2 linked regions of the Notamacropus eugenii genome follow. The protein of the gene in region 1 binds, or shares a complex with, the protein of each later gene. Links are inferred from orthologs where the notes say so. Each region holds a gene or a part of one and is shown on either strand. Other genes may lie near its edges. The genes, in order: KATNB1 and KATNA1.

Region 1 (16,795 bases):
GTGACAGTGTCATTCTAGAGGCTCTGATGCTGCTGCCCTTGCCTACCATTATTCTCCTCCCATGTGACCTTTTTAGCCAAAATCAGCAAAGGCAGACAGTCTTCTCCATGCTCTGCTCACACACGTGTATGCATGTGACACACACACACATGTCCCCACTCCCAAGACAACACGCAGAGCCCAAGTGAAGACTTGCAGCACACAGCACATGGCCAGAGCCAACAGGCCTACGGAGGGGGATGGATGCTGCTGTGACATGCAGGTTCCCTCTGATATTACCTGATCCCTGGGATGCTGCTACCATCCTAACTGCAGCGTCCAATTCTGCCATGCTCCCCAGGGGCTCAGCTTAGCACAGAGAGACTGTGAGAGACTCCTGCTTGGGAGATGAGGAGATTCTCACATAGGTCAGAGCAGGCAAGAGCCGTTTCAATAAATACCCCAGGAGAGATCAAGGGGGCTGGGGCTTGAGGTCCTGGCAGGGGCAGAGGTAGGCAGACTCTCTTGGCCCTGGAACTGGGCTGACAGGCATAATCATTGTCTCCTGCCACCCTGGCCTCACTCATCACACTGGGAGATGAGTGATCAGAGCTGTTCCTGAAAATGGACCATGCAGTTTGCCCATGCATGGCTCATCTGAAGAAGATGCCCACGTTTCCTGGGGGACAAGTCATCCAAAGAGTAAACACTGAACAGCAGCTCCCTCCTCATCTGACTGAATGCATGCTGATTTAGTTCCCATTAAGAGTGTCATCTCCCAAGTGGGCCTGTCCCAAATGGAACTTGATTCTTATCAGCTGAAAAATGGGTCTATTTTTCAGGGACGGAGAAGCTCCCATAGTAGCCACATCCTTTGCTCATCAGGCCCTTCCCAAACCAGACACTGCTCCTGCCAATTGGTTTCAGCTTGTCCATTCTGCCCTCTATTCTTACTATGTCTTTCTTAGAATCACAGATTTGAGAAGCCATCTGGCCCACCACTCTCACTTTACAGATGAGGAAACTGAGGCCTTGAGAGGCTAAATGACTTTTCCAAGGTAACACAGGTTGTAAGTAGCAATCAGGATTCACACCCAGGTCCTTGAACTCCTCCCCAGCCTGTAGGGCCTCAGAGGCTCTAGGCTCCTTAGGCCTTGGTGGGTGGGCTATCAGGTTAGAGTGGACATCTCTCCCAAGCTCCTTGGAGTCACTTAGTAGCACAGTGTAAATGGATTTGAGGGAAAGATGAGTCAGTACCTCAGGTCTGGGGCCAGTGCCTGGTTCTGTCATCTCCTCCCAGACCCTGCCCACTCCCCATCTGGTGTTTCTTACCATGATGCAGTTGGGCTTGTTAACTGACCACAGGTTGACCCGACAATCATCTCCTCCCGTTGCTAAGAGCCGTCCTGAGCCCTTGCCCAACACCAGGGAAGACACATTGCTGGCATGGGCCACAATTTCCTCTAGAAAATGGAACAGAATGGAACAGAGACACAGGGTCACTGGAAGCAGTGTACCCAGAGGGGTGAGGAGCTGTGTCCCCCGACACTACCTGCCTTGTTGCCTGAGGCCTGGTTCCAATCAGGATCAGCTCAGAGCTTGAAAGCCCTAGCAGCCTCAGCCTCCAGGCTCCAACTCTATGGCTTCCTTCTATCACCTGAAAGGCTTAGTGGGGACCACTCTGAACTACAATTGAGGGCTGAGGAAAGGCTGAAAGCCCCATCCTAGACAACAGCACAGCGGCTTCCTTAAGGCTATACATGGTCTGCAGAGAGGAGTCCAGAGGAGGAAGTGACCAGCAGGATCCCCTTCCTAGTCCACAAAGGGCTCTGACATTCATCCTCAAGGAAAGAGAATGGCCCAGTGACTAGGGTATGGTCTCTGAGGAAGACCCAGGTTCAAACACAGTCTCTGACACTTAATGCCTGTGTAACCTCAGGCAAGCTGCTGACCTCCCTGGGCCTCAGTTTCCTCCTCTGTAAAATAAAGGGGTTGGACTCAAGAATCTCCAGGTTTAGACCAACAATTTTACTGATCATCACAATGCTCCTACAAACTGGGGAGAGAAATTCTTATTACCTTTATTTTATTGAAGAGGAAATTGGGCCCCAAATGGTAAATGACCAGCCCCTGGTCAATCTTTCAAGGACCATAGATTCAGAGTGGGAAGGAACCTCAGAGGCCTGGAAGACCAACCCCTCATTCTATAGAAAAGGACACTGAGGTCCAGGGAGGTGAAATGCTCCATCCCAGGCACGTGACCAGGAAGCATCAGAGCCCATGTCTGAGCCCACCTGGGCTGGAGCCTGAGCTGCCTCTGGAGGCGTGACTGAGGTGGCGGAGTGTGAGTGAGGTCCTAGAAGAGGGGACAAATCTAAGGAGGGGAAGGACACAGGAGGCTGTGTTCAGCTGCCAGAGCCAGGGTGATGCAGGGCAGGAGGAGGTGAGAGGCTGGGCATTGGGTCATCCCTGACCTGCATTTGGCAAAGGGTTCCCACATGGCAACTACACAGTCCTGGAGGGCCGGACATGAAGCAAAGCATGGACCCAAGAAGAAGAACTTAGTGTTCATGTCTCAGGTGTCAAGGGAGTGAGTGAGAGGACCTCTGGGGTAGTCAGCATGGCTGACCTGAGCTGTGTCAAGGACTTACAGCAGCACTGACTGTGCTGGGCTTTCCTAGATCCCTTTCCCAGGTGGCAGAGCAATCGGGTGCCAAGTTTTCTGCTTTCACAATGGGGCAGGGGCATCGTGGGGGTGGAGGGGGGGCAGGGTCGCTGACTCTGTCCCGGAAACACAGCTGGACATTGAGGCATATTGAGCTCTGAGGGGCCCCTGGAGCACAGACTTCGAAGGGCCCATCAGCTGATGAACCAACATCCTCTACAACTGCTGCTGATGACTGGGAGTCTACAGGGCAGTCTGCACATGCGAGACTATCCTTTCTCTTGAAGATCTCAAAGTAATTCTAATACTGTGTTAACCCTGCAGAATGGCCTCATCAGGTACGTAACTACAAGCTCCTTACTAAAAACAAACCTGAAGACCAGAGGGCAGAGAGACCAGGGGCAGGGTCACCAGCCCCTGAGGTCAGGGGTGACAGCCCTAGGCCCCTGCACTATGGCCACAACCAGACCCAACTTCTCCTTGGTCATGGGGCTCTCCCCAGGTTTCTTCCTGTGTGAGCGCTCTGGGCCCCTGGTATTTCCCACTGAGGACAGCTCTCCCCTCAGGGCTCTGTTCTCTGAGGAGCTCTCAGGGTGTATTTCAATCGGATTAAGCCCCTTTCTATCCACCCTCCCTGGGGACCTGGTCTAGGCTGCGACACTATTACTAAGTGATCTTGGGCAAGTCACTTCCCACCCCTGGCCTCGGTGTTCCCTTCTGTAAAATGGAGCTACTGACTGGATGTTTTGTGCCTCTTCTGCGGCTGCAGAGCACACTTCCTAGAGACCAAGGCAGTGACTCTGCAGGAGTGGGGGAGGGTGTCATGCTGCACCGAGATTAAATGGTCATCAGGAAAAGAGCATTTAGGCCCTGGAAAGATCAACAGGCAGATGCAGGGGACACAACTAAGCAGGGAATGGAGAAGGGCTTCTGATCTGGGAGGGCCAGGGCAAGAGACACATAATCAACAAGAAAAATGATGGCTAAGGTGCTTGTTGAAAATAGCAGTGACATCATCCATCAGTGCCAAGAGGAGAAAACAGGCTGCAAGCCCAAAGGGAAGCCACGCCTGCCTGCTGCCATCTGCAGTGAGCCAGCCTCTGGGTCAGCCCCAGCCTGGGCCCGGGCAAGGGGAGCCTCCTGTCCTAAATCTCATCATGTCTGTGCCATGGCCAGGGCTGACAGCACCAACTGCATCCTGGCCACCGGGGAAAGGCCTGACCTCCGGACCACAGCCCTGGACCACTCTGACAAGCAGAGGTCCGGCAGGAGCTGCTTCCAGACCAGAGGAACTGGGTCCTGCAGCAATCCATGCATGAGTGGGACAGGGGGGAGTCCTCGGCTTAGATCACCACTCCTGTCTTGGTCTCTGGTCCCTGAAGAATCAGAGCCCACGTCAGGTTCGTGGAGAAATTTCTCAGACACAGCAGCCCCATAACAGCTCCTGTCTCACCAAGAAGGCCTAAGTTCCTTGGGACAGTTCTGACATGGGCACCTGCTTACATCTTAACTAGGACTTGAGGTGGCCAGGATCACTGACTGAGAGCTGGAAGAGACCTCTGAGGTCAAGAGGGGAGAGACCTACCTAAGCTTCCTAAGCTCACACAGGCAGTGAGTAATCCTAACCTCCAAACTCTGATCCTCATCCTCAAACCCGACTCTCTCGCCACTATCCCAGCTCCGTACAGTAAGAAGCAACACTCTAGGAGCCTGGCCATGGTGGGAAAAGGGAGTAGGTCAATTGTCTGGCAGAATGATTCAGAGGGAAGTCAGGTCTTGTCTTCCATCTCTAGTCAGTGACCCTTTGCAAAGGTGTCACCCTGACAAGGAAACAACATTATTTCCTGTTATAAAATTCCCCTAAAGGTTGCAGCAAACCATCAAGGGCATGTTCTTTAGTCTACTCTGTCCAACCCATCAGCCTAACTCAAAATCCTTGAGCCAATAAGAAAGGATGCTGAAGGCTAATATGCGTCCCCTCTGGAACTCTTCATTCTCCACAGGACAACAGGTGGCTAACAAGATTAACAAGTAGACAGCAAGAGAAAAAGAAAGGCAGGAGACTCACGTAGCTTCCATGCGGTCTTGGTAACAACAGGGGTCGCCATTTGTGCAGCCTTTCCTTTCAGTTGGCGTGGACCCCCAAACCAACCAGGAAGAATTGCGAAGGGAGCACTCCACTTTCCCGGTGGGGTGGGGGAAGAACCCCCCCAGACTCAAGTCTCAAGTTGGAGCGTAGTTTCGACACATCCAGGCAGAGATAATTCCCTCTTCTGTGGCCCTTTGTTAAGTCCCGTTTTATAACATCCAAGCAAGCAGTTTGTGCCTAGCAGTACACATCCCAGAGCATGAAGAATCAGTTTTGGTCCATTGTACAGTTATGTTGACCTGAAAGGGAAACAAAAATCCATTTAAATTTACCTGACATACCATGAGTAGGGGCATGAGCTCTTGATCTAAAGGAAAACAACAACCAGTACAGGTATCCAGTCCCCTTAATAAAACCTTTGGCTTTGGAAGGAACGAGGAGGTATGTCTAGTGTTCTCAGCAGCAGCATCTACAGAGTGGGTTCTCTTAAATATGATCATTTTGATTAGCAACAGAAAAAGTGGATTCTTATGAAGTCTTCAATATGACCACAGAGACAGCCACACAATGTTTGTTTCCTAATATCAAACAAATTCAGGGAAAGGCTTGATTTTTACAATGACAAAATCCAAATCACTAGAGGTACCACCCTCCTCCTCCCTTGCCAATCAAGCGATAGAATCAAGTGATTCTAAAGAAGGCTGACAAACCTGTGCCAGCCCACCCAACACTCAGCCTTTTTCAGGGAGTTGTTTCAAAGCAAGACGTTATGGAACTGAAGAGGGGGCAGGAGGAACCCCTACCTCACAGGTCCCAAAGGAAATCATAATTTAATCCTAAAGAGAATATCTCTTTATAACAGAACTAAGGAAGTCCCATTCTTCCAGATCACTACTTTCCCTTCACTCTCCCCAGGGCAGTAGCCAAAGGGGTTGACTTGGTTATTGTTGGATGTGTTTGTCCTTCATTCTCAAAGAGGACCATGACATCAAGAGGATGACATGACTTGCAGTTGACTTTGATTTGAGTGAAGCAAGGTTGTGCAAGGTCACCAGCCTCACTTTCTTCTCCTGAGCCATCTGGGTCCAGGGGCCTTATATTCATCAGGATGACTGGAGATGGTCCAGGATGCAGTGTGGGACCCTGGTCCTTTCAGGCTAAGGTCTTAACACATTCTCACTTTGAGTGAGAACCATCCATTCCATGAATACGCTTCTTTAAGTTACACAAAGGATGACCCCTTGAATCAAAAACAACTCAAACTGGGAGGGTGAGACCCTCAGGGTTCCTGGGTAAGAGAGAAATAACTACTATTTGGTTATTAGACTTGGAGAAAGGGCTGTGAACCTGAAGCTTGACAACCAGCAGCAAGGTGTCTCCACAGGCGCCCAGCCACACCTGGCGATCCCTCCCTCCTCCCTCCCTTGGGCCCTCGCTCCTGCCCTTCCTTCCGTCCTCTTCCACTGTGTCTTCAGTCTCCCACCTTCTTATTTCTTCTTCCCTCCCCCTTCCGCCCCCCTGCATTCACTCCTTCAGTCCTTCTGTCCATCCACCCACGGCGCCCCATCTCCCTGCCCTCCGTTCGCCCCCATCACCATCGCCATCTTCTCCCTTCATTCTGCCCCCCATCTTTCCGTCCTTTCTCCCCACCCCTGCGCCCCCCAATTCTGTCCCCTTCCCTCTTCCTCTCCGCTCCATCGCCCCATTACCTCCATCCTTCTACACCCCCAATTTCTCTCCCTTCCTCCTGCCCCTCCACTCCACCCTTCGGCGCCCCTGGCCCCGCCCCCTCAGGTCCCCCCTCTTTATTCGTCCCCCTCCACCCGGCGCGCGCCGTTTCCGATCCTCCCCCCCACCCGGCCGGGGGTTGGTGGGAGCGGGGGCCGGGGCCGGGAGCCTAGGCCGGGCCGTGGAGGGAAGGCCGTCCGCTCTCGGCCTCTCGCGGGGCCCCCGACCCCGGCTCCACGGCTCAGGAGGCACGGACCCAGGCCGCTCCCTGCCACCGCGGCCCTTCAGCCCCCGCCCTCGCCCCCTTCTTCACCTGCGGCGGGGGCAGCGGCGGCGGAGGCTGCTCGGACGGTGGAGGCTCCGCTCCCAGCGCGGCCCCCACCTGACTCCATCCTCGGACCTGATTGGTCGCTGCTTGACAACCGACCCTCACAACAAAACCTCCGGCCTCCGTCCCCGCCTACCTTCTCCCTCAGGCCAATCAGCCGCCGCGGATGCCACGCCTTCCAGGAAATCTTCACCAATCAAGAAAGGCTCTGCTGCCGCTCTCCCTCATCACGGCCCCTCTTTCACTAATTTCGACTAATCACAATGAAAGGATGTTCGAGGTCTTCCCCCCGGTCTATGGTGAGCCAATGTGCTCCTGCGATTTCTTAAGTCCCGCCTCTACCTCGGAGCTCCATCCATCCTGGTCCCGCCCCCCGCCACCTTCCTCCCCATTCTCATTTAAGTTTGAAAGTCTGCGGCACGCCTCCAACGGCGTCCGCACCAATCCCCTTAGCAACCGTCCAGATTCCAACCAATCACAGTTGTCATTGTTGGGAGGCCAGTCGGGCTTCAGCCAATAGAAAGAATCCTGAGGAGAACCGTGAAGTAGTTGGGCTGTCGTATTGATTTTGGGCAAGTCTGAGGCGAGACTCTTCCCCCTGCCCCATTCCCTGATATCTTAGTGTCCAAAGTGGGAAAAGTGACCTTCCAGAGTTGACTCCTTCCTCTACTCCAGCCCTGGGGCTCAAGAGTCACGAGGAAATTGAGTCCACGTAGCCAAGTGGTCAAAGTCCAGTTTTTCAAGGAGTGGGTGCTGGTTCATAGGTCGTAGACTTGTGGAGCTGGGAAAGAAGAAGGAGATCCCAAGTCCAGAGAGGGTCCAAGGCCAGGAAGGCGGTGATGAGGTCAAAGGAGGAGGCCACCCCGAGAGCAGCCCTTGGTGGGGTATCCAAGAGCTGGAAGGAAAGTGGGAACCCATTGATTGACAAAATGGCGGCACCACGTGTAGCAAAATGGCGGAAGCCAGTGTAACCTATGAATGGAATGGAATGGATCTTACTGTTCCGAAAGAAATGCGGAGATGAAGAGTTCAGAGAAACCTGTGAAGACTTGTATACACTGATGAAAACCCAATCAATGCAAAGAATGGTGGTGACTTCAGGGGTGCCTCTGACCCAGCAGAGAGGTGGTGGACTGGCTCTGGTGTGGCTCTCCCATGTGGCCAGCTTGGTGGTGGACTGGCTATAGTGTGGCTCTCCCATGTGGCCAGCTTGCTGCTTTGCTTAATCATGCTTTGTTAAAAGAAAGGGTCATTTTTGGAGGAGGGGAGAAGGGGAGAGAGGAAGAGAGCCTTTGGAAAATAATGATGTAAAAAAAAGACAAGACATTTTTAAAAATATTGTAATTCACAGGAGACTCTAACTTTATTGACCTGTTTCAGATCTTATCAGTCAGCAAGCAAGCAGTTTATTAGGATCTTACTATGTGTCAGGAACTTTGCTAAAAACTGGGATACAGAGACAAAAATGAAAAAAATGTCTATGAGATAAAAAGACAAAAAAAAAAATCCCTGACTTCAAGAGGCTTGTATTATAATAGGATAGCATGTACATGCACAAGTATGTGTGTGTATACATATACATACATATAATACGCACACATGCATATGTGTATAAGTATACTAGTAAATTTCCTTGTATACATTATATATAAATATATATAATATGTTTATTATATAAACCATATAAATATATTAATAAACTATATTCTATGTAATTTATATTATATGTGCTACATATAAAATACTGTTTTATATATATCAATGTATTCAAGGGAATGCACTAGAAAGAGGGGGAGGGGGTTAGGCATCAGGAAAGGCTTCTTGTAGACTGTGTGATATGCTGAATTTTGAAGGAAACCACAGGGTTTTTTGGGTTGTTTTTAAGGAAACTAGTCATTCTAAAGGGAGAGATAATGAAGTACACTGCTGGCATGGAGGAGGGTCAGTGCAAAAGCATAGAGACAAGATGGAATAATGTGTATGTAAAACCTATTGAGTAGGTCAATATAGCTGGATCAAGAAGTTCTAGGAGGGGACTAAAGTTTAAGAAGACTGGAAAAGTAGGTTGAGGCCAGATTGTAAAGAGATTTAAAAAACATAAACATTTGATCCTAGAGGTACTAGGAGAGGCAGCTAGGTAGGGCAGTGGACAAAGAGTTTGGGACCTGGAGTCAGGAGCACCTGAGTTCAAATCTGGCCCTAGACACTAGCTATGTGACACTGGACAAGTCATTTCACCCTGTTGACCTCATCTGGAAAATGAGCTGGAAAAGGAAATAGCAAACCACTCTAAAACCATCTCTGCCAAGCAAACCTCATGACTGGAAATGACTAAACAATAAGAATAAAAACAAGAAAGGAGTTTATTTAGAGGAATGGCATGATCAGATCTATGCTTCAGGAAGATCACTTTGGTAACAGTGGGGAGAGACTTGGAATCCACATAGGAGGTATTGCAATAGTCCAGTAATGAAGACCTGAATTAAGATGGTGGTGAAAATGTAAATATAGAAATGTCAAGATTTGGCAATTTAATTGGGTATGTGTGATGATACCAAGGTTGTGAACTTAGGTACCTGGAAGGATGATAGTAGTCTTCACAATAATAGTGAAGTTTGGAGGAGAAGTAGATGCAGAGAAGTTCTGTTTTAGACATTCAAATTGAGATAGCCTGTTATAAGTGTCCAATAGGCATTTGATGATCCAGTACTGGAACTCAGCAGAGAGACTAGGACCAGATATAAAAATCTGCACAGAAGTAGTCATTGAATCTATGGGAGCTGATAAGGTGGTCAATTAAGAGAGTATATAGAGAAAAGAGAGTTTGGGATTTACTCACAATAGTGGACTTGACATGGATGATGAATCTGAAAGGAGACTTGAGGAAGGATTAGGTGGAAGGAGAATCAGGAGAGAGAAGTATCTTGAAAACCCAGAGAAGAGAGAGTATCCAGGAGATGATCAGCAGTGTCAATGTCATAGAGAGGTCAAAAAGAATGAGGACAGAGAAGAGGAAATTTGATTTATCATTTGAGAGATCATTGGTAACTTTGGAGAGAGCAAGATCAGAGGAATGAAGAGATCAGAAACCATATTGTAGTGTACTATGAAAAGAGGAAAGAAAACAGTCACTTTGTGAAGATTGCTTTTTTAAGATTTCCTAAGAAAAACAGTAGAGAAATAGTGATAGTTATCAGAGATGATGATCTAGTGAGTTTTTTACTTCTAAGGATCAGGGTAACGGGTATATTTGTGGTCAGCAGGAACCAGTAGACAGAAACAAAGTGAAAAATAGAGTGATGATGATAATGATGATGATGATGATGATGATTGGGAGTAATCTAATGGATAAGATGGGACGAGATGGGATACATGGGCCCATGTAGAGGGGGCCTTGGTGAAAAGGGACACCTTTTTAACAGAAATTGGAATAAAAGAAGATATGATGGGGTATTATGTAAAAGAGATGGGAAGTAAGGAAGGGTTGGTAGGTGGGGAGAAGGGAAAGTAGGGATCTCTTGGTGAATGGTTTTGTTATTTTTCAGTAACTGAGGGGCTCAGCTAAGAGAGTAGGAGAAGTAGGTACTGTGGAAGCCTAGAAAAAAGAAAAGAAACTTTCAGAACAGCCATTATTGAGAATGGGATAGAAGAGTATGAAGGATTAAAAGGATTGTTTTTCAGTGATTATACACTTGAGATTTGATAATACAGATTTGTAGTAGACCTCATCAGTACAGTTGCATGACTTTCTCCAGCTTGCAGCAGCTGAGTAGGAGTGGAGGAAGTGGTTTGAGGAAATAAATCCAGGATCAAGTTTTGACAAGATCCAATCTTTGAATGTAAAAGGGAGTAAAGCATTCAAGAGTAGAGGATGGTTTAGAGTCCAACAGGGTCCCCAAAAGGTTGAGATTGAGACAGAAGGAGGCAGACAAAGCAGGAGTGATAGCCTAGCAAAATATGACCACTTGTCTGGTATGTTATAGTGGGCGTTCCTTTTGTAAATAGGTTGGATTAGAAGTTCACTGAAGAGTCCCAATTGACCAGTTTTGTGATTCTGTGATACCAGAGAGGAGAGAGATTACATGTCATGGTGAGGAAAAGAATATAAAACAAAGGGAGAGATATAGTGATAGGAGGTTGTGATCAGATAAAGGAATTTCTCAGTTCTCAGTCATGGAAGCAGGACTTTTATGGGTAATGGATAGATCAAAGATTTTGACAATCTCTGTGGATCACTGAAATAGAATTGAGGAGTAGGTATGGGAATTGAGCAAAGTGGGGAAATGGGAGATCAGGCTATTTGAGGCTGTTTGACTTCAACAAGTACCTTATCAATGTCAAGTATTTATTAAACACTATATGACAGACACTGTATTAGGCACTGAGGATACAAGTACAAATAAACTGTGAACCATGTACTCAATTCATTGAGAAAGGAGGAAGAATATCCTAGAGATCAGTAAAATAGTCACTTGGATCTGGATAAATTTGGAAAGCATGAACTTCAATGTGAGAAAGGTTGCTGAATGATGGTAATGTTTACCAATGCTAATGAATAAAGCAAGAGATTTTTTTTTAAAGAGTTCAGATTACAAATGAAATTATTTTAGAGGAAAAAAATTGGGAAAAAAAAAGCACTGGAGAAAAGATTTGGAAGGAGAATTTAAAGTTTAGTATAATAAATATAAAATCTTGCTCAAGTAAAGGATTCTATAAAAATTAGAATTTTATCAAATAGAAATTAATGACTTCATGAGAAAACCAGAAGTATCTAAACAAAGTCAAAATTCTGGGAGAAAGAAGAGAAGAAAATGTAAGTCAATTCATGAAAAACAACTGATTGGGAAAATAAGTCCTGAATTACCTGCTTACTAAGACTAAAAATCCCAAACCCTAAAATACTAGTAAAAACCCCTGTATATCACATTTCAAGAAAGCAGGAAAGTAAATTGTCTAGTTCTCTTAAAACCAGAAGGCAAAAAGTGAAAATAGAAAGAATCCACTGGTCATCTCCTGAAAGAAACCCCAAAATGAAAGCTCCCAGGAATGTCATAGCCAAAATCCAGAACTTCCAGGTCAAACAAAAAATGATGCGAGCAGCCAGAAAGAAAGAATTCAAATACCAAGAAGCCATAGTCAAGTTTGCACTAGATTGATTAGCCACCCTTATAAAGGAGCAGAGAGATTAAAACACAACATTCTGAAAGTCAAAATATAGAGGCTTACAACCAAAAATAACTTACCCAGCAAAACATCCCCCGAAAAAGCAAAAAAAAAAAAAAGTTTTTATAATTCTGCAGAGGAAAAATTAACCTTTAATGAAACAGAAGATTTCTGAGTATTCCTAATAAAGAGATCAGAGTTGAGTAGAAAATTGAAATATTAACACAAGTTATGAGAAAACATGAAAAAGTAGCTTCACTTAGCAATAAGAAGGGTCCATACAAAGGTGAAGTCATTTGAAGTACTAGTACTGAACACACTCCTGTTTTAATCACTCTCTTTTTTGTAAAGACAGAGATAGGAGGCAGGGGAAGAGGGAAAAAGAAAACATAAGATAAATTGTTGGGAAATGGAAAACTAATCATTATAACTATGAATATAAATGGAATAAACTCACCCATAAAAAGGAAGAAAATAACAGAATTTATTAGAAACATCATCCAAAAGTATGTTATTTTAAAAAGAAACACACAGTTAAAATATGAAGCCAGAACAACAATAAAAACTATTATTCTTCAGCTGAACTCAAAAAAAGCATATTCATTATCTCAGACAAGTCAATGGCAAAAGTTACCGTGGTTAAAGAAGATAAGACAAATTATGCTGAAAGACACCATAGACAATGAATTAATATAAATACTTGACATATATGGATCAAAATTTTGGGGATACAGCCAAAATAGTCCTTAGGGGAAAATGTATATCTCTAAATATTTTCCTCACTAAAATAGAGAAATAATAAATCAATGAATTAGGTGTGCAATTAAAAAAACTCTAGAAAACCAACAAATTAAAAACCCAATTAAACAACAAAATAAAAATACTTAAGATCAATTCAGTCCTCTCATTTTCCAGATGAACAAACTGAGATTCAGAGTAACTGAATGTGTCTGAGAAAGAATTTGAACTCCAGTTTTCTTGATTCCAAATATATCACCATCCACCAAGTCACACTACCCAATGTATTGAAAACTGGTCATTTGTGTGTTCAAGGCTAGCTCTGCTTATCATTCTCTATGTCCCTTCTGGCTATATTCAGAGCTGAGCACATACAAGCATATTCCACTGTTCAGCTGATGATTGGTGATAGGAGAGGTAACCCTAGATACTCAGACTTAGTTTTAACTAATGAGAAAATTAGGAGAAAAGATGGATTCAGGGTAATAAAGTAGCTCTCAGATTAATGAGACCATGTTCTTGATGATTTTACATTCTTTAATCCTTTAAAGTGATTTAAAAAAAAAAAAGACCATGTATTTAAATAATAATTAAATAATCCAAATCCTTAGGGAAGGGTGGGGCCAGGGAAACATAGCCCTGGAGTTCTCAGAAAGGCCATTGCAGCCTCAATAGGGTTGTTAAGATTATCTTTATGGGTCTGTTGCAATGTTGTGTCCTGAGACTATCACAGTGACCACATAGTGGTCATGTGACCCTGATGGGACGCTACCGATTGATCAGGGGAGACCAACTGTCTGACACTAGATAAATGTCCTGGGCCTTATCAAACCCCAGTGCAGGAGACAGAAAAGAGGGGAGGGGGACAGGATAGAGGGAAAAACTTGGTCTGGGTTCCCAAAACCATTCATCAAGATTAGAACCAGGAAAAATTATGAAGTGGACAAAACCTCCATTCTCCATCTCCATTTAATTAAACACACACACAACATTGATTAATCACTTACTATGTGGAAGGCATTATGCTTGAAGATGACTAAAACACAGTGCTAATTTCAAAGAGCTTACATTTTATTGAGGTACAGGAATAACGTGCACAGGTAATGCTGAATATATATGTCAGGGTATGACTGGAGGAAAGATGAAGCTGAACGCTTTGGGGATATTTAAGGAAAAAGAGACAACGCCAAGGATGGTGGAAGGGGTGGAGATGGGGGCAGGTGGAGCTTAGGCTTCCCAGAGATGGCATCATCTAAGCTAAAACTTTGAAGGAATTTCAAAGGAAAACTTTGAAAAGACAGCAATTAGGAGGAAGTGCATTTTTTGGCATGAAGCACAGCCTATGAGAATGTATAAGGGTGGGAGTTTAAATGTCATTGAATTCAGGGAACAGATGTCCAGTTTGGCTGGAATAAAGATTGTGAGGAAAATTAATGTCAACTTGTCAATTAAGTCGGTCAAGAAACATTATGTGCCCACAAGGTGCCAGGCATCTTGGTTAAGTGGTGGGGATACAAAGAAAGTTAAAAATAGTTCTTGCTCTAATTGGGGAGACAATATACAAACAGCTATGTACAAACAAGAGGTATTCAGGATAAATTGCAGATAATCAGTAGAGAAAAGGCATTAGTATTCAGAAAGATTCTTGCAAAGGGTGGGATTTTAGCTGGTTTTTACAATAGTCCAGGCAAGAGGCTTTGAACCCAGTGCAGGTAGATAGAAGAGAATGGATGTGAGTTATTGTGGAGGTGAACCAATAAAATATGGGAGGTCACTAGATGTGGGTGCTCTATGGTCTCTAACTTACAGAAGAAGCAACTGAGCCTGAGAGAGGTCAAGTGATGTCCAAAATTACACAACTAGTAAGTATTTTATGCAGAATTCAAATTTAGGTCCTCCTTGACTCCAAGTCTAGCTCTCAATTCCAATAAGATACTTCAGGATTTCATAACCTCTGGCCTACCTAACTACAACAGCCTTCTAATGGGTCTCCTGACCTCAAGTCTTTGACCCATATTCCATGTGACTACCAAAGCCTAAAGCACAGATCTGATCATGTTACCTGTCCGCTTAATCAGCTCCCATAGCTCCCTATTATTTCTAGGAAAAAATACAAGCCTCTGTCTTTCATTGCTTTTATTTAAAAATAACACTTATTTATAACATTCATTAAAAAACAGCAACATTGAGTTCTAAATTCTCATTCTCCCTTCTACCCCTTTCTCACATATTGAGTAGGCAAGAAATATGATCTCCATTGTACATATGAAATCACACAATATTTGTTTTCATATTAGCCATGGTACAAAAAAGTGAAAAAAATTATGCTTCAATCTGCTCTCAGACTCCATCAGTTCTCTATTTTTCACCATAAGCCCTTTGCAATTGTCTTGGATCATTGCTTTGGTTTGAATAGTCAAGCCACTCCATTGATCATTACATAAAATTGTTTTTACTGTGTTGAATGTTCTTGTGCTAATGCCCGCTTCACTCTACATCAGCTCATGTCAATTCATAGTTCTCACTTCATTCTGCACCAGTCTTCTGAAAGCATCTTGCTCATCATTTCTTACAGTAAAATAGTATTCCATCAAAATCATATACCATCGTTAGTTCAGCTAATCCCCAGTTAATGAACATATTTTTAATTTCCAATTCTTTGCCACCACAAAAAGAGCTGCTGTAAATATTTTTGTACTTATAGGGTTTTTTCTTTTTTCTTTCATCCCTTTGGGATACAGACCTGTAGTGGTATTGCTGGATCAAAGGGCATGCACAGTTTTATAACCCTTTAGTCATAGTTCAAATTGTTTTCCAGTAATATTTCCATATCCCCTCCGACATTAGCCATTTCCTTTTTCTGTCGCATTAGACAATCTGATAGGTGTGAGGTGGTATCTCAGAGTTGTTTTAATTTGCATTCCTTTAATCAATAATGATTTAGAGCATTTTCCATCTAATTATAGACAGCTTTGATTTCTTCTTCTGAAAGCCTGTTCATATCCTTTGACTATCTATCAATTAGGAGATGACTCATATTTTTATAAATTTGACTCAGTTACCTATATATTTGAGAAATGAAACCTTTACCAGAGAAACATACTCTGAAAATTTCTACCACCACTCCATTTCCTGCTTTTCTTCTAATCTTAGTTGCTTTGGTTATGTCTATGCAAAACGTTTTTAATTTAATGTAATAAAAATTATCCATTTTACATAATGCTCTCTATCTTTTGCTAGATTATAAAATTCTCCCCTTATTCATTTTCTATGCTCCCCTAATTTGCTTACAATATTAGCCTTTATGTCTAAATCGTGTACCTATTTTGACTTTATTTTGGTATATGGTGTGAAACATTGGTCTATCTCTAGTTTCTGCCAAACTGCTTTCCATTTTCCCAGCCATTTTTGTCAAATAGTGAGTTCTTGTCCCCAGAGCTTGGATCTTTTATCAAATACAAGATTACTATAGTCATTTACTAGTATGTATTATGTATTCAATCTATTTTACTGATCCAACCACTCTATTTCTTAATAAATACCAGACTGTTTTCATGATTGCTGCTTTGTAATGTAGCTTGAAATTTTATGCTGCCTTCCTTCACTCTTTCCCTTTCCCCAATTAATTCCCTTAATATCCTTGACCTTTTGTTCCTCCAGAAAAAAACTACTTTTTTTTTAACTCTATGAAATTTTTTTTGTAGTTTGGTATGACGGTGAATAAGTAAATTAATTTAAGTAGAGTCATAATTTTTTATTGTACTGACTTGATCTGCCCATGAAAAATTAACATTTCTCCAGTTGTTTAGATCTGTATTTGTATGAAAAGTGTTTTGTAATTGAGATCATATAATTCCTGGGTTTGTCATGGCAGGTAGACTTCCAAGTCTTCTCTGTCAGTGATAAAGCAAATTGATTTGGTTTAGCACTTGTATAGTAACACTTGGATAGGTACCAAGTGCTCCAACAAACTTGTATTGAGTAGGGGAGGGTGGTCTGGGGAATTACCCTCTCCCTCTTCCACTATCTCAGTGCTCCTGTTGTGGCCCATATCCACAGACCAAGTTTAAACTATAAAATTCCTCTGGATCCCAGAAACAACAGA
Region 2 (16,521 bases), on another chromosome or scaffold:
ACTTTAAAAGGGTTTCACAAACAATCTCCTGTTTTACAAAATATAGAAATGCTAATTTTAGAGACTGAAAGGATATTGGGACAGAAGAGTTTAGGGGGAAAGTGAATGAGTTTAGTTTTAGACACGCTGATTTCCAGATGTCTTCAGGATATCCAGTATGAAACAGACAACAAAGAATAGGACTAAAGTTAAGGTAGAGATTAAGGATGAATACATAGATCTAGGAGTCTTCCGCATAGAGTTAATAGCTGAGCCCAAGGGTGCTAACAGGGTTACCAAGAAATGACTGAGGAAGAAGAGGAGGTAAAGACTGAACTTTGGTGTATACCCACAGTTAAGAGGTATGATATGGACGCTGAGTCAGCAAAAGAAATGGAGTAGTCAGACAGTAAGAGAACCAGGAGGGAACAGTCACAAATAGCCAGCAAGGAAAGAATATACAGGAAGAAAGAGTGTTCAACAGTGTCAAATTAAATCAACAATTAAAATAATGACCAGCTGGGGAGCAGTTTCAGTTGAGTGATGAGGTTAGAAGCCAGTTTTCAAAGGGTTGAAGAATGAGTGGCGCATTTCATCATGAGTCCTCTGCAATCATGACTGGTCACTATGTTGATCCGAGTTCCTAAATCTTTCAAAAATGTTTATCTTTACGATACTGTTGTCACTGTATAAAATATTCCGGTTTCACTCACTTCACATGACATCAGTTTATACAAGTCTTCCCAGGTTTCTCTGAAACTTCCCCCCAAATTCTTCCTTCCTTGAAACTTCCATATTTTTTTTTGAAGATGCCAACATCCTTTCAATCTCTTGGGACTGTAGCCTTATCTAAGACTTCTCACTCTCCTGCATTTCTTACAGCGTAAAGTATTCCATCATGTTTCTGTATCATAACTTGTTCAGTCATTCCGTCAAGAAATTTTCAATTCTTTGCCACTAAAGAACTATAAATATTTTTGTAAATCTTAGTTTGTTTTACTTAGGACTAAGTCCCCTCCCCTTATTTCCCCTTTTTCCTTCTCTCCCCCTTTCCTTTTGCTTCCCTGATGAGTGAAATGTATTTTCAAACTCCTTTGTGTATGTATTCTTCCCTCCTTTGACCAGTTTAGATATAAATAAGGTTCAAATGTTAACTGCTCCCTCATCCCTTCTTCCTTACTAGTATAGACTTCTATTTGTTCATTCTTTTTATACAGGATAATTTTTCCTAATCTTCCTCCTCTTTTCTCCTCACCTCCAAGTTTTCCTTATCTCCTTCTCTGCCATTCTTCTGAGATCAAGATAACAGAACCACTCCCAGTCATTCTAAACAGACTCCTTCAGTGACACTTAATGATAGGATTTGGAGGGGACAAACGTCTGTCTCATCTCTGCATATTCCAACACAAACAGTTTATCCCTGTTTGTTCATGATTATCTATTTGTTTCTCTTAACTCTAGTGTTTATGATTCAAAGTCTCTACTTAGCTCTGATCTTTTCATCAGGAATGCTTGGAAGCCCTCTAGTTCATTAAAAATTAATTTTTTCCCCAAATAGCATTACATTCAGTCTTGCTGAGTAAGTTATTCTTAGTTGTAATTCTATATTCTTAGGCTTTGGGAATATCGTATTCCAAGGTCTCTATTCCTTTAGAGTGATGGCTATTAAATCATAAATGATTCTAACTATGGTTCCTCAGCATTTGAATTCTTTTTTTCTGGCTGTTTGCAATACTTTTTTCTTTGATCTGGAAGCTCTTGATTTTGGCTATGATTTTCCTGGGAGCTTTTTTCCATTTTGAGGTTTCTTAGAGCAGGAGGTGATCTCCTTCTGGGAGAACTACTTTGTTCTCTGATTCTAAGAGATTTGGGCAGTTTTATGATTTTTTAAAAATATGTCTAAGCTCTTTTCTTTTGGTCATGGCTTCTAAGTATTCCAGTGATTCTTAAATAATCTCACTTTGATTGTTTTCCAGATTAGATGTTTTTTCCATGAGACAATTTATATTCTCTTCCATTTTCTTTTTCAGTCTTTTGACTTTGTTTTAGCATTTTTGTTGTCTCATGGAATCTTTAGCTTTTATTTGGGTTCATTCTCATTTTCAGGGAATTTGTTATTAGGGTAAAGCTTTAAATTTCTTTTGTCAAGCTATTCTTTTTTCCACAGTTCTAATATCTTTTCTAATTTTCCCCTATGTACTTTAAATTACATTTTTAAAAAATCATTTTTAAGCTTTTCAAAACGTGCTTCCTCTTAGAAATTCTAGTTGAATTTATGCCCAACTTCCACTTTGTTTTGAGGCTTCGCTTGCAGATGTTACGAAAACCATTTTCTTCTACTGGGTTTGTATTTTCAGATTCCCAGTCAAGATATTAAGTCTTTAAGATTAAGTTCTTTTTCTGTTGCTTATTCTTCCAGTCTACTTCTTGACTTCAGACTTTATGTCAGGCAGGTTTTGCAAGCTTTTGGATGAAAGGTCTGGACTGGCCTTTTTGTTGCTTTCTTGGGGTACTGACTACTGGGTTATTTCAGAATTTCAAGGACAATTCAGGCTAGAGATCTGAAAGCTTCACTGCTCCCAAAGTGGTATGAGTCAAGGCCAAGTCTGATTCTTGCTCTCTTGGTATGAACTTTGCAAACAAAAGTTTCTGCACTGGGTTTGAGTGTGAGCTACAAGTACGTGGGCTTGACTCCTTTGGAGTTTCAATAGCTGCTGCTGACCTTCATTGTTAGCCACTAGGAAAGCTCTCCTGGTTCAGAATAACATAACAGCTGGCTCCCTTTTGGTCTGGGGCTCCTGTACTGGTTATTCCTCTGCAGGCTTCAGCCTGGTTTGGAGTTTGGAACTAAGACCCACTTAGATCCGAGCGTCCAAGCCACACAGCTGCTGCTTGTTACTGAATATGCTTCTTGCTTAGCAACCAGCTAAGGACCCCTGACCAATCCTCACCTTAGAATGCCATCCCTCAGCAAAGGTCCCCTCTTCAATCTGCCCTGGATCTGTGGCCCAAAACTGGGTAGTGTGTCACAGAGCTGCCAATGGGTGGCTTTTCCAGAACAAGTTTAGGAACTTCTATGCTGGATCCAGGACCTCTTCTTGCCTCTTTCACAATGGAATGCTCCCAGCAGCATGCTCCTCACCAGACCCTGTTCCCAAGGTCCACACACTTCTCCCTATTCTGACATGGGCTGGAAAAAAATGACTCACTTTCATCTCTTTTTCTTGGATTTCCTGATCAGGAATAAGTCCGGTACATTTTTTCTAATTCTGTTTGGAGGACTTGTGATGGGGGTGGGAGGGAGGAGGAGGGTGGAAGTAATCTATTTTTTTTTGACTGCTCCACTAAGTAGGCTCCCTCTAGCCCTTAAATTTATTTTTAATGGGACTCAAGAGAACAAAGACTTTTTGGCAATTGGGGAGGGATTTTTCCTACTGCAAAATACTCTTAATAGCAAGTTTAGGCAATGTATTATTCAATGCACTCTTTCAAAAAGTAAGTAAAATAATGTCTTATGTGATCTAGAATTAATTAGAAATGCAAAAATCAACCAATATAGAAAGACTAACTTTAATCTATACTAATACACTAAGCAGGACAAAATATCCATCCCATATTGGTTTTTCTAACACAAATAAGAAAACTTTGCTTGCTAATCACAAAAAAATAATGGAGGCATACTGAGAAATGTCCTGTCATGAAAAGTGGCAATGTGAAAAGGGCACTGAATTTGAAGTGATTCAAGTTCTTAGTTCAAGTTCTGGCCTAAACACTTAAAATTTGTGTGATTTTTGGGTTTTACCTCTCAGGTCACAATTTTCTCATCCGTAAAATGAAGGAGCTGGACTAGACAACAGCTTCTAAGATTCATTCCAACTCTAAATCTTAATAGTGCAGAATTACTGCAAGCACCCACACTCCCAAGGAAGAGAAGAACCCCATATTATTAACTATGGTAGTCAATACTTCTTGAGCTACTCATATATATAATATATATATATATGTATACACACACATATATACATACATATGTATGTATGTATGTATGTATAAGGCCGAATACAGAATAAATGCTTAGGAACTGCTTGATTAACTAAATGATCGCTAAACGTTATGCCACAATCAGAGGTATATGCTAAAGTGAAGAAAGTCAGAAAATCAAGTTCAAATATTGTCTTTTATATTGTATTTGTGTGACCTTAAGCAAGTGGTTTTGCCTCTGTGGGTCTTGATGTCCTCATATATAAATCAGGGATGGACAGTGATAGCACTAGAGATTTCCAAGTTCCCTTCCAACTCTAAAGCTATAATCCAATGGGGCTACCCTGTATTTAAGACTTATAATAAAATTAGGGATGCATGATGCATACACAAATAAATAAACATTTTTTTAACCTCTTTGTGAAGTGAAAAGGGAGTAAGGGGTAGAAACCAGTGATAAGTAAACAAGGTTTCTCTACCTTGGCTTTAAAAAGTAATGTTTATAGCAAATTTCATCATCTGGTCAGATATTCCTTATGGGCAATGACCTGTCATTTTACAATTTTGTTGTTTTAAAAAGAATCCAGTTTAAGAAACATCTAGTCCTGTAAAAGACAGGTTATTGATTATATAGCACAATCACTCTGTACCAAGCACTGAAAGAACATTTTCTTTACTCTTTTAGACAGTTTTGTAACCCTAAACACCATCTTCCTCCCCAATTTAATGACAATACTGTATAGTTCTACAAGATTCTCACCCTTTAATACTCACCCTAAATTTCCACTAAGCTAATGCACCTAATTTTAACTATAATTTTTGAACACTAGTTATTAATTCAACATTTTAATGCAATCCTACAAAAATTAATTTTTCATAATTTTAACAAGATAACGAACTATATTTTTGTCCAAAAAATTTCAAAGAATTTTAACTTCATAAAATATTACTTCTCACAATTATCACAGGTTGCACCTACATCATTCCAGAACAAGCTTTTCCACTTACTCTCATCCCATGAGAGTCATCCTTTGTTTAGGTGGCTTGTGAGGGATTAATGACTTAACTGATGACTAAACTCATTAAAATTAATTGAGCAAGATGCTAATAAAATAAGCAGCAAGATCAGATTTTTAAATGAAATGCGATGACATCTGATGTTTCGGAAAGGTCAGACCACATGTGATATCTATGTAGTAAGTGTGAGTACAGTTCTTTTATTCACATACAACTAGGAAATAATCAAAAAGGGGAGGGGGGGGAAAATACTTTGTTAAGAGAACAAGCAATTAAAAAAAACCTTACTTACTCTTTAGCCCTCTATCTCCTTTCCTCAAAGCTCTCAAAAGAAAAAAAAATTCCTCTGAATTTATTTTTTTGAGGTGCTGGGGTTTGGGGACATCCAAGTATGGGGGCATTGTTAAAATATGGACAAAAATCTATGAAAAATTTTTTGCTCCTTTCTGCAAGACTGGCTTACTCAAATATATAAAAAAGATTAACTATACATTACCTGAAGTCAAATCAAAAAGTGTTTAATAAAATACACCAGAGTTCAGTAAACCAAATTTCAAAAAAAGGACAAGGTGTTACACTGGTAAATAATTCTGAACTAACATCTGAGGTCTGTAATTAGATTTTGCAGATATTATAAATCAGTCACTGGTAATGATGAATAATCACTAATGAATGACCCATGACCACTTAGAACTTGGTAGATGTTTTTGCTCATTTTAAAGCTTGACAAAGTTATTGCTGTGATACAAGAGTATCTTAGAGTAACCTATGTTTGGAAAGTATTTTAAAAATTAAACATTTTAAAGATGGGGGATTGAGGACACTATTCTTTATAGTTGTTAAGAAATGTAACTTGAGGCAAGAAAATGACTGTAATGGAAAAAGTCATATACATACTCATTTAACGATAAGATATAAAGCTCAATTTATCCTAGACAAAACAGTGGGTGATGAAGAAATACATAATTCAACAAAAACATAGACAAAAAGTCATATTTAAGTTAAGCTACCAAACAAGCAGGATGACTAAATGTACTCAGCATTTTATCAGTAATCAACATTCTACGACTCAACATACTATGCCTTCTGACAAAGAACACTATCTTTGTAAAACAGTCAATAAGGTTAAAAGGAAAACATTTAGCCCTATGCTAAAAAAACTGAAAATTCCACAATGTACTTCCTACCAAATTTCTGAAGTGTATTATCTAGGACTGGGTGGAAAGTAATCAATACTGTCTTTTAAAGTTTTAGCTTATGACATAAAGCTAAGAAGAAATATGTAACAGTATACGATTATCCTCGCTTCCTGGAAAGGCTGCTAACATTTATTTGTACAAGAATGCCCATCGTGCCAATTATCCTTCCAATTTTTTAAAAAGTCTCATTCAAGGAACCACCTTTAATTTCTAAAAAAGTTTTCATCCTCCTCTGGAAAAGTTGGGCTACTCCGTATGTAGATAACATACATTATTACATACTCTATACCGAGAACTTTTCAGCCTGTACGAACAGTACCTAAATCACATCAGAAGTGTTCTACCATTGTGACTGGGAAGGAAAGGTCTGTGCACACATTCTAAAACACCAGCAATGTTGTTTCACAATCCAAGAAAGGACCCAAGTCAAAAGCTGAACTGTTTTAAGAGGGAGCCTTCGGGAGTCACAATTCAAACACAAAACACTGGCTTCGTTCTTCACAAGGTGCTGGCGTGGGACGAGAGAGCCTTTCCAGTGGAGAAAAATCACGTTCCTCAGAAACTTTGCCATTAATGCAACAAGGAGTAATATCCGGGAAAAAACAACATGTAATAAGAAACTTTCCCCAAAACTACTTTTTTTTTAAAGGGGGGGGCAATTAGAATTTGACAGCGCTACGAGAAACTAAAATAATTACTCTCCAAATGACACAGGAACTTAAAAGCCAAAATAGGGCATTCGTTTAAAATCAAGAAGAAGAAAGTCTTCAAATAAAGAAGGGGGGTGTAGAAAGGAGGCTTCCAACGCCGCGGCTGCCCGGCCGGCCTCCGGACCTCTCGGGTCCCGCGAGGCTGGGGGCGGGTTGGGGTCTGGCCCCAGGCCCCCGGGAGGAGGGGAAAGCCAGGCTCGGAGAAGCAGGTGTGTCAAGCAGCCAAGTCGGGGCCTGCGGGCCGGGGATCACTAGGAACAGAAGGAAAGGGATCCGCACGGAATGCGGGGCGGGACCCCCGGCCTTCCCTCCCCCACCCCCCACAGCCTCAGCGCCCGCGGCCTTAGAATCGGGGGGGAAGGAGGGAAGGAGGGGAGAGGCTCACCTGGGTCCGCCTCGGCGTCCGGAGCTGGAAACTGTCCTCCGCGGCTGGGGGGCGAGGGGGCGGGACGGACCCTTCGGCCCACCCCCAGCAGCAAGGAAGAGAGGCTCTCGAGCCCCTACCCTGCACTTCCTCGCCCAACCGCCACCCCTCCGGCGCCGCCGCACCACCTCACAGAGAATTTGAAGTCAAACCCGCCAGGGTCACTTCCGGCGGTGGCCGCGGCGGCCCAGGCGACATGGGCGCATGCGTGGGAGAAAGGGAACGCCCCGGGAGCGAGGACGAACGGGGCGTGCGCGCGCCTGGTCTTGGAGAGCGCGCAGACGTCGGCAAGCGGGTGGGGCTGGCGGCGAGGACCGCAGCGGCGTTACCTGTCGCGAGCGCTCTGAGCGCCGCCGCGGCAGCTCCGACGCCTGTCCCGGAGGACCGTGCGGGCGGAGCCAGCCTGGCCCGCCCTTGGGGGATCCTCTCCGGGAGGGGTAGGCTGCCATTAGCGAACTCCCCCTCCGCCGAGAGGGGTCTTCTGCTCCTGGACGTCTGAGGCCCCGTCAGCCCTGGCTCCAAGCCGGAAAAAAAAGACTGTATGGAGAGACAGAGAGATAGAGCCTACCCACATCGCCACACGTGCACACGCGCACGCGTGGGATTCTGAGTCTGAGTGCCCCTTAAGTGGATGTAGCCTATACACGCGCGGAGTCCCGAAAGCCTCGGTGCAGCTTTAAACTTCAGTAGCTTTTGAGAGAGTAGTGTGTGTGTACGCATTTGTGTATACGCAGTCAGGTGTGTGTGCACGTGTCGTGTGACTATATTGTATACATTACATCCTGTTTATGCTTTAATTCGTATTTGCTCGGTAGACAATTATGTTTATTTAATGCGCATGCGTACGTGTGTATGCGCAACATACACCTGTGCGTGCCTATATACGTGCGCATCGCGCGCGCACAGGTCCCCAAAAGTGGTAAAGCGCTTCTTCTGTAACTGCCCTAGGACTTTGGGGACCCCCGATGTTATAGCAGGTCCGACTCACCTTTTCACAGCGTTAGCTTCCTCCATTCCATGCAACAGAACAAACTGCATTCATGCAGGGCTTAAAAGGTTGGCAGGGTTTTATATGTTACCTCGTCTGATCCTGTTATCCTTTCTTTTTTTTACAGATGAGGCTGAGAGGTGGTTTGACTTCCGTGGATCCACAGCCAAGGACTTGAACTCGGGTCTTCCTGTCACTACGCTTGGCCGCGCTGTCAAGGAGCTGCCAGCTAGCTTACCAGCTGTTGCTGAAGTAGTGCCTTTGCTTTCCCGTCTTTAGTTGCCCCTCCCCACCCGCTTAAAGCCTTGCCTGAGACCATTAGCTGGGAGCTCTCTCTTCTCCCCTCACCCTTCTGTTACTGTCTGCTCCTTCCCCGCGAGTCCCGCAGTGAGGTGGCGCTTCTCCTTGCCATGGCCAACACCTTCCCAGATACAAGGGATCCCGTTTATTCCTGCTTCCTGTAGCGGATCCCCCCCTTTATCATCTCGACCCTCTCGTTGGTCTTGGCGACCTCTCCTTTTCCTCTGACTGCTTCCCTATTGCCTACAAACACGCCCGCGTCTCCACCATCCTCAAGAAATCCTTCCCTGATCTGCTTATCTCCACTAGCTATCATCTCTTATCTCTTCTCTCTTTTTTGGCTAAATTGGCTATTTATAGAATGTACGTGGAGAACCCATATAAGATGGCATGCCTGTCTTGGGGAGGGAGGGAATAGGGAGGGGGAGAAAATTTAAAACTTATGGAAGTGATTGTTGAAAACTGAAAACAAATTAAATTTTTTAAAAAAATAAAATCCTTTTTGAGCTACAAAAAAAGACTATAATCAATGCCTCCCCTTCTTTTACTTTCTTCTTAACTCTCTGAAGTCTGGCTTCATGCAGACTTCACATCATGCAAACAAAACTGCTCTCCCCAAAGACACCAATGATCGCTTAACTGCCAAATCTAGGCAGATTTGTTGTTCAGTCAAAAGTTCGGTTGGTGAGTAAAAAGTGCTTTGCTTTCCTGCTGTTGTTCAGTCATTTTTCAGCTAAATATAAGATAGGAGAAGGAGTAGATGTATCCACAGTATCTTGGAAAGTTCAAGATTCCCAGTTACTGAATCTTTAGAGGGTCAGTCAACTTGGTTGGACTAGGGAGTGAATGGACTCAGATCCACCATCCACTTCCCTACAATCTCCATGTCAGGATGATGAAAGCAAACCCTTCTTGTCCCTTTCTGACCCCTTTCTTCCAACTCTAATTCTGACAACAGTAGTTGAAATCAGCCCTATTCTTCCTGGAAAGGACATGCCAGTCAATGGTCCTGTGACTCCAATCACCTTTCCCTCTGCCTTCCCTGTCCAAAAGCACTCTTCTCCATGAACTCCCCATAGGCAGACATTAAAAAACAGAATCCAACAACATATTGTTTACAAGAAGTACACTTGAAATACAAAGTTCTATAGAATTTAAATAAGAGGCTACAGAAAAATCTAAATAAAAAAAGCAGGGGTAGCAATCGTGGAAAAAGCAAGAGCAAACATAGATTTGATTAAAAGAGATTCACATGGAAATTACATTATTCTGAAAGGTACTTTGGACAATGAATTAATAAAAGTACTTATTTGCCCAGAATGGTATTATATCCAGAAACTTAAAGGAAAAGGTAAGTGAATTATAGGAAAGACAGACAAAACACTCCTCCCTGGCTGAGATGCCTTTATATGCATTGTGTTCTGTTAGAATGGATACTTTTTGAATGTCAGGACTCTTTTGCTTGCCTATATTTGTATCCCCAGTACTTAGCAAGACTCTTGGCACATGGTAAAACTTAAATGTTCATTCATTCATTCACTCTGTTCTCCGTAGGGCAAGGTTTGCCACTGGTCTTAACTATAATGGATTGTAAAAGCAGTGTCACACAGACTTAGGTCATAAGAATCACCTAGGACAACCTGCCTATCATACATTTGCTCACTTAGGTATCTGCCACTTGTATAGACACACAGTGTTATGATAAATTAGGTAATAGGTTTGGCAGCTAGAAAATTGGCCTTTCCAAACACCATGTAATTTGTTTCAGCCTTGCCAGTATGTCTCTAGTTCCAGCAAATGTAGGGTCCAAGAAATGGGTGGCAAATCCCAAATTAGTGATGGATAATAATGGTCACCATATTCCCCTCAGGACACTTAAAGTGAAAGTAGAGGTTTTCAAGCATTAGCCAGAACATCTACCCCCTTACAATGTAAGGATTATGTTGATTCTCCTGATTCCAAAATGGGATGAGGTCAGGGATTATGGCCAAAAATCTACCACAGTATTGGCTAAGGTTTTGTGAGTTTGGAATTTTGTGATATGGAAAAGTTCACATGGGAGTAAGGCTCAGATGAGGACCAGAAGCAAGAGGTGGTACATATAGAGAAGTCTGTTATTGGAATTCCACGTATGAAATACAAATCAAACATGGGTCTGAGGTAGAAGCTGTATCTGAAGAGTAATGCAAAGTCAAAGAAATCCAAGATGCATACAGTATACACAGCCCAAGGTCAGCCTATGTTCAGAGAAATTGTATGCCCAACTTGATCTGAGCTTGAAGAAAGGGTTTGTACACATTTTGTCACATGTAAGCAACTGAGCAAATCAGAGTCCCTTAAAGTCCTGGCATATGATTTCTTTATAAGTCTTGTACCCTCTTTGTACATCTGAACAAGATTTAACTATGGTCAGCTCCTAGTTAATGGGAAAAAAACTGTCTTGAATGTAGTAGAAAAGAATGAGAATTTGGAAGTGTGCCCAAAGGGCTATAAAACTGTGCATACCCTTTGACCTAACATCACCACTACTAGGTATGTATCCAAAAGAGATTTTTTAAAAAGGGGGAAAGAAGGAAGAATCTATTTGTACAAAAATATTTATAGCAGCAATTTATAGAATTGCAAATTGAGGGGAATGCCCATCATTTGAGGAATGGTTGAACAAGTTATGGTATATGTTTGTAATGGAATATTATTGCGCTATAAGAAATGATGAATAGGATGGTTTTTCCTTTTTAAAAATTTATTTTTTATTTTAAAAAATTTATTCATTTTTACTTTTTATATTGATTTTTATAAGATTTTGATTTCTAATTTTCCCCTCCCCCCACTCTCCCCTACCCAAGACAGCATACAATCTGATGTAGCCTATCCAAGTATGATCACATTAAACAGGTTTCCAGGTTAGTCATGTGAAAGAAGAATCAGAACAAAAGGGAAAAATCATGAGAAAGAAAAAACAAAAAACAACAACAACAAAAGAGAAAATAGTCTGCTTCAATGTGCATTCAGATCCCATAGTTCTTTCCTCTGGATGTAGACAGCATTTCCCATCATGAGTCATGGAATTGTCTTAGATCATTGCATTGCTCAGAAGGGCTAAGTCTAACAAAGTCGGTCATCACATAATGTGACTGTTACTGTGTGTGGTGTTCTCCTGGTTCTGCTCACTTCCCCCAGCATCAGTTCATGCAAGTCTTTCTAGGTTTTTCTGAAGTCTGCCTGCTCATCATTTCTTATAGCACAATAGTATTCCATTACATTCATATACCAGTCATTCCTCAATTAATGGGCATCCCCTCAAATTCCAATTTTTGGCCACACAAAAAGAGCTACTATATTTTTGTACATGTAGGTCCTTTTCTCTTTTTTTATGATCTCTTTGGGATACAGATCTAGCAGTGGTATTGCTGGGTCAAAGGGTATGCACAGTTTTATAGTCTATTAGGCATAGTTCCAAACTGTTCTCCAGAATGGTTGGATCAGTTCACAACTCCACCAATAATGTATTAGCTTTCCAATCTTCCCACATCTTCTCCAACATTTATCATTTTCCTCTGTCATCTTAGCCAATCTGATAGGTGTGATGTAGTACCTCAGAATTGTTTTAATTTGCATTTCTCTAATCAATAGTGACTTAGAGCATTTTTTCATATGACTATAGATAGCTTTAATTTCTTCATCTGAAAACTGCCTATTCATACACTTTGACCATTTATCAATTGGGAAATGACTTGTATTCTTACAGATTTGACTTGGTTCTTTATATATTTTAGAAACAAGGCCTTTATCAGAGACACTTGCTGTAAAAACTGTTTCCCAGCTTTGAGCGGGAACTTTCCTTTTTGATATTTCCTCAGCCTTTGACACTATTTTCTTCTTGATAATCTCTTCTCTCTAGATTTGCATGACACCAGTCTATCCTGTTTCTCTTCCTAGCTGTCTGATTGCTCCTTTGTAGTGTTCTTTGCTGGATTTTCATTCAGATTGTACCTGATAATCATGAGTGTCTCCCAAGGCTCTGTGCTAGACCCTCTTCTTTTCTCCCTCCATTCTATTTTTCTTGATCTCCTCAGCTCCCATAGATTCAATTATCATCTCTATCCAGATGACTTTTTGAGTCATTTATCTAGACCTAACTTCTCTTCTGACCTTTGGTCTCACATCTCCAACTGTCTATGGAATAGGTTGCATTGGATATCTCATAGACATTGTAAATGCAACATGTCTAAAACTGAACTGATAATCTTTCCCTACAAACCTTCCTCTCTCCCCAATTTCTCTGTTATTCCTGGGGATACCACAATCCTCCCACTCAGCAGGCTTGCCACTTACGTCACCCTAGATTCTTTATTCTCTTACCTCCCATATCCAATCAGTTTCCAAGTACTGCCAATTTCCCCTTTGTAACATCTTGTATATATGTCCCCTTCTCTCCTCTGACACTGTCACTATCCGGGAAGAACCTCATGGTAGGTTGAAGAGAGTGCACATTAGATGAACTTCATTCTTATCTGAAATGATCAAAGAAGGGTTGAACACACAAAGAATTTAGTGTAGAAACACATCAAATTTTATAGGGAAGTAAGTGGGGATGCATGAAGATGAGAGAGGCTAATACTGGATGAGAAGTAGTAGAAAGTAAAACCAACATATGGATCCTGAAGGGTGAATTAAAAGAAAAAGAGATGGGAGCCTACCCCATGAAGAGGAATGGTTGAACAAATTGTGGTATATGAATGCAATGGAATATTACTACGCTGTAATTATGAAATTACAAAAAGCCAATTTCAGAGGACCAATGGAGGTTTCTGCACGTGTGGCATGAAAATGGAATATTAGATTATTCAGGCAGTAGTGTGTAGAGGGGTTAAAGAAGCAATAGACTGGGAAAAGGAAAACAGTTGTCATAATACTCTAAACAAGAAGAGATGATATAAACAAGGAGAATTTAGAGCTAGAAGAGATTTTAGGGGCCATTGAGTCTAACTTCCTTATTCTGTGAATGAGGCAACCAATGCCTAGAGTGGTAAGAAAAAGCTAATATGGAAAAATCATAAATGAAAAGCTGCTACTGGTTTAAGAAGGTCACAGGATAAAAAGAAACTTTACATTTTGAACATGCACTTCAGAGTGTGAAATGATAATCATTTAAGAAAATTAGAGAAACAGGAAGGGCAACAGGCTAAAGCAGATGAAATTATTTTCCCCAAGATACCTAAAATTAGCTTTTTAAAGAAAGATGTCATAGGGAAGTAGAGATTTAAAGTTGATGTCTTTCTTTGAGCTGTCCCATCATCTAAAACTGGAGGGAAGAAGAAAATTATGGATGAGGACATTAAGAGGGCTAGGAGTGGAGGGACTTTTGAGGAGCATCACAGTGGAAGGCCTTGATTTTTTCTCATTTTTTAAAATTCTGAATTTAACATCAAGTAAAATACCACAGTACAGAAGGAAGTACATGAAACCACATCTCCATTATATGTAGCTGATTTTTTGTTTTAAGTATATAACAAAGTCAATGTCACCTTCAAAATTATCTTACTTATCTTGTGGATCCTTTTGGTATTTCTTTTGCTCTATTCTGTACATTTTGAAAATGTTTCAATTATCCTTTTTCTTTAGGTGTGTTTTTCTTGGTACCCCTATCCCTAACTTTCCTTTCCTTCTCCACTCTTCCTCTACCACTTTAAAGAGGAAAAAGAGTTTTACAACAAATAAAGTCAAGTAAAACAAATTCCTATGATGTCTGTGTTAAAAAAAAATGTACGTCTTCCTCTGCATCTTGAATCCATCATCTCTCTGTCAGGAGGTGAACAGCATACTTCATGGAAATCATGATTGGTTGTTACATTGATCAGAGTTTGTCAGTCTTTCCAGGTTGTCTTTACGATGGTATTGTCATCTTGTGAAATGTTCTTCAAGCTCTGCTCACTTCATTGTCAATTCATACCAGTTTTCCCAAACTTCTCTGACATTATCTTTTTTTTTGTTATTTCTTATACGGCACAAAAAAAATTCCTTTACATTCACATATCATCAATGGTTCACTCTTTCCTCAAGGAAAGCCTTAATCTTAGCAAAGAAGGGAAAGTAGTCATTGGCAATGAATGGGTAGAGGAAAAATAAGAGGCATAGACTGAGCAGAACTGAGTTGAAAAGGGATTGCAGGGGTGGGGAACCTGCAGCTTCTAGGCCATATGTGACCTTCTAGGCCCTCAGTGCGGCCTGTTGACTGAGGTCAAGTTTTACAGAACAAATCCTTTTATTAAGGGGCTATGTTCTATGAGGTTTGGATTCGCACTTGGGGAAGGGAAGGGAAAAGGATGGGAGGGAAGGGAAAGGAAAGGAAGAAGGCAGTAAAATTCAGGTCTACTGGGCAACTTTTGGCCATCCAAATTTACCTTCCTTTGGAGAGGAGAAGGAAGGGGAGGGAGAGGCAGATAGGAGAGCAGGAGGTGAGGTACCCGGCTAGCATTCAGCCAGCTGCATCTACTCACAGGATCATGTTTGTCCTTTGTTGCCCAAGAAGACTTGCACTTGATGGATGGATGGTTTAGTGGTCCCCAGACTCTATCTGGGTTTGATATCACTGCTTTATGCAGTCCAAAGTATTCCCTATTGCTGGAGAGCATTTCCAGATGTTATTTGCAGAATGCACTGTGCCAATTCCATTAAGCTCCATAATGATCCAAAGCCTTTCAGTATGAGTCATAGTAATTGGAAAAAAGGTATGACAATCCATACTGAAAAAACAAGGTGGATGGTAAATACTCATTTTTCAGCTTTTCAGATGTAGTGGAAGAGCAATTCATTTTTAACGTGTGTGTGTGTGTGTGTGTGTGAAACAGAGACAGAGAGAGAGAGAGAGACAGACAGACAGACAGAGACAGAGACAGAGAGAGACAGAGAGAGAGATCAATGGGAGTAATAAACTAGAACCCTAGAATTCACTGATCAGGTTAAAAAGCATGTTTGTAAAATTACTCATTGCTTTTTTTTGTTGTTACATTTTAAGTTCCAAACTGTCTCTCCCCCACTCTCCTAACCCCACATTAGAGAAGGCTATCATTTTACACAGATTTATATGTAAAACCACACTATGCATACACCTGTTTATCAGTCCATTCTATGGAGGTGGATAGCATCTTCCTGCATAGGTTATTTGTAGTTGATTTGAATATTTATAATACTCAGTAACTTGGTTGTTCACAATTATTCTTCAAACAACATTGTTGTTAACGTACACAATGTTATCTTGGTGCTGCTCATTTCACTTTCCATTATTTCATGCAAGCCTTTCTATGCTTTTCTAAAATCAACCAGCTTGTCATTTCTTACAGCACAGTAGTATTCCATCACAATCATATACCACAACTTGTTCAGCCATTCCCCAGTGGATGGGCATTCCTTCAATTTCCAGTTTTATGGAGCTGGAATGAGAACTGCTATAAATATTTTAGAGCACATATCTTCTTTTCCTTTTCCCCTGATCATCTTGGGAAACAAACTTAATAGTCATATATATACGGTTTTATAACTCTGGGCATAATTCCAGATCACTCTCCAAAATGGTGAGATCAGTTCACAGTACCACCAACAGTGTATTAATGTCCAATTTTCCACATCGCCAATAACATTTATTATTTTCTCCTATCATTTTAGGTGTGAGATATCTGAAAAACAGGAATGATTTAGAACATTTTTCATGACTATATGTAATTTTGATTTCTTCATTGAAAATTGACTGTTTATATCCTTTGAACATTATCAATTGAGGAATGACTCAATCTTCTAAATTTGACAAAGTTCTCTAAATATTTGACATGAGACCTTTTTCTGAGAAACTGTCCACAAAATTTCCCCCTATTTTCTACTTTTGTTCTAATCCAGGCTACATTGGTTTTATTTGTACAAAACTTT

What was found.
Region 2: the proteins of KATNB1 (region 1) and KATNA1 are in contact, whole or in part, in a crystal structure (PDB 5OW5), measured with the Mus musculus proteins. The link is inferred for Notamacropus eugenii from reciprocal best matches to the Homo sapiens genes KATNB1 and KATNA1. Residues at the interface, in NP_083081.2 of Mus musculus: Leu485, Val486, Asp487, Glu488, Ala490, Met491, Gln493, Ile494, Arg495, Gly497, His498, Met501, Phe502, Val504, Leu505, Thr506, Arg508, His509, Leu512, Asp513, Val515, Arg516, Trp519, Thr521, Asp542, Leu543, Ile546, Gln549, Lys550, Leu553; in NP_035965.2 of Mus musculus: Leu5, Gln6, Ile8, Val9, Val12, Arg16, Ala19, Leu20, Leu21, Gly22, Tyr24, Tyr31, Tyr41, Leu50, Lys53, Trp54, Gln56, Val57, Glu60, Ile61, Val63, Glu64, Gln67, Val68, Asp70, Ile71, Thr74, Leu75, Ser77, Phe78.

Annotation. Positions count from the first base shown.
Region 1 is NC_092872.1:716,383,802-716,400,596, forward strand, and holds the start of KATNB1 (katanin p80 WD40 repeat-containing subunit B1), read right to left. Parts: upstream 7,186-16,795; 5' UTR 6,926-7,185; intron 6,882-6,925; exon of another isoform or gene 6,775-6,881; intron 5,033-6,774; 5' UTR 4,753-5,032; coding exon 4,713-4,752; intron 1,443-4,712; coding exon 1,312-1,442; intron 1-1,311.
Region 2 is NC_092873.1:241,695,035-241,711,555, forward strand, and holds the start of KATNA1 (katanin p60 ATPase-containing subunit A1), read right to left. Parts: upstream 7,404-16,521; 5' UTR 7,272-7,403; intron 1-7,271. UniProt on the Homo sapiens protein: Catalytic subunit of a complex which severs microtubules in an ATP-dependent manner. Microtubule severing may promote rapid reorganization of cellular microtubule arrays and the release of microtubules from the centrosome following nucleation.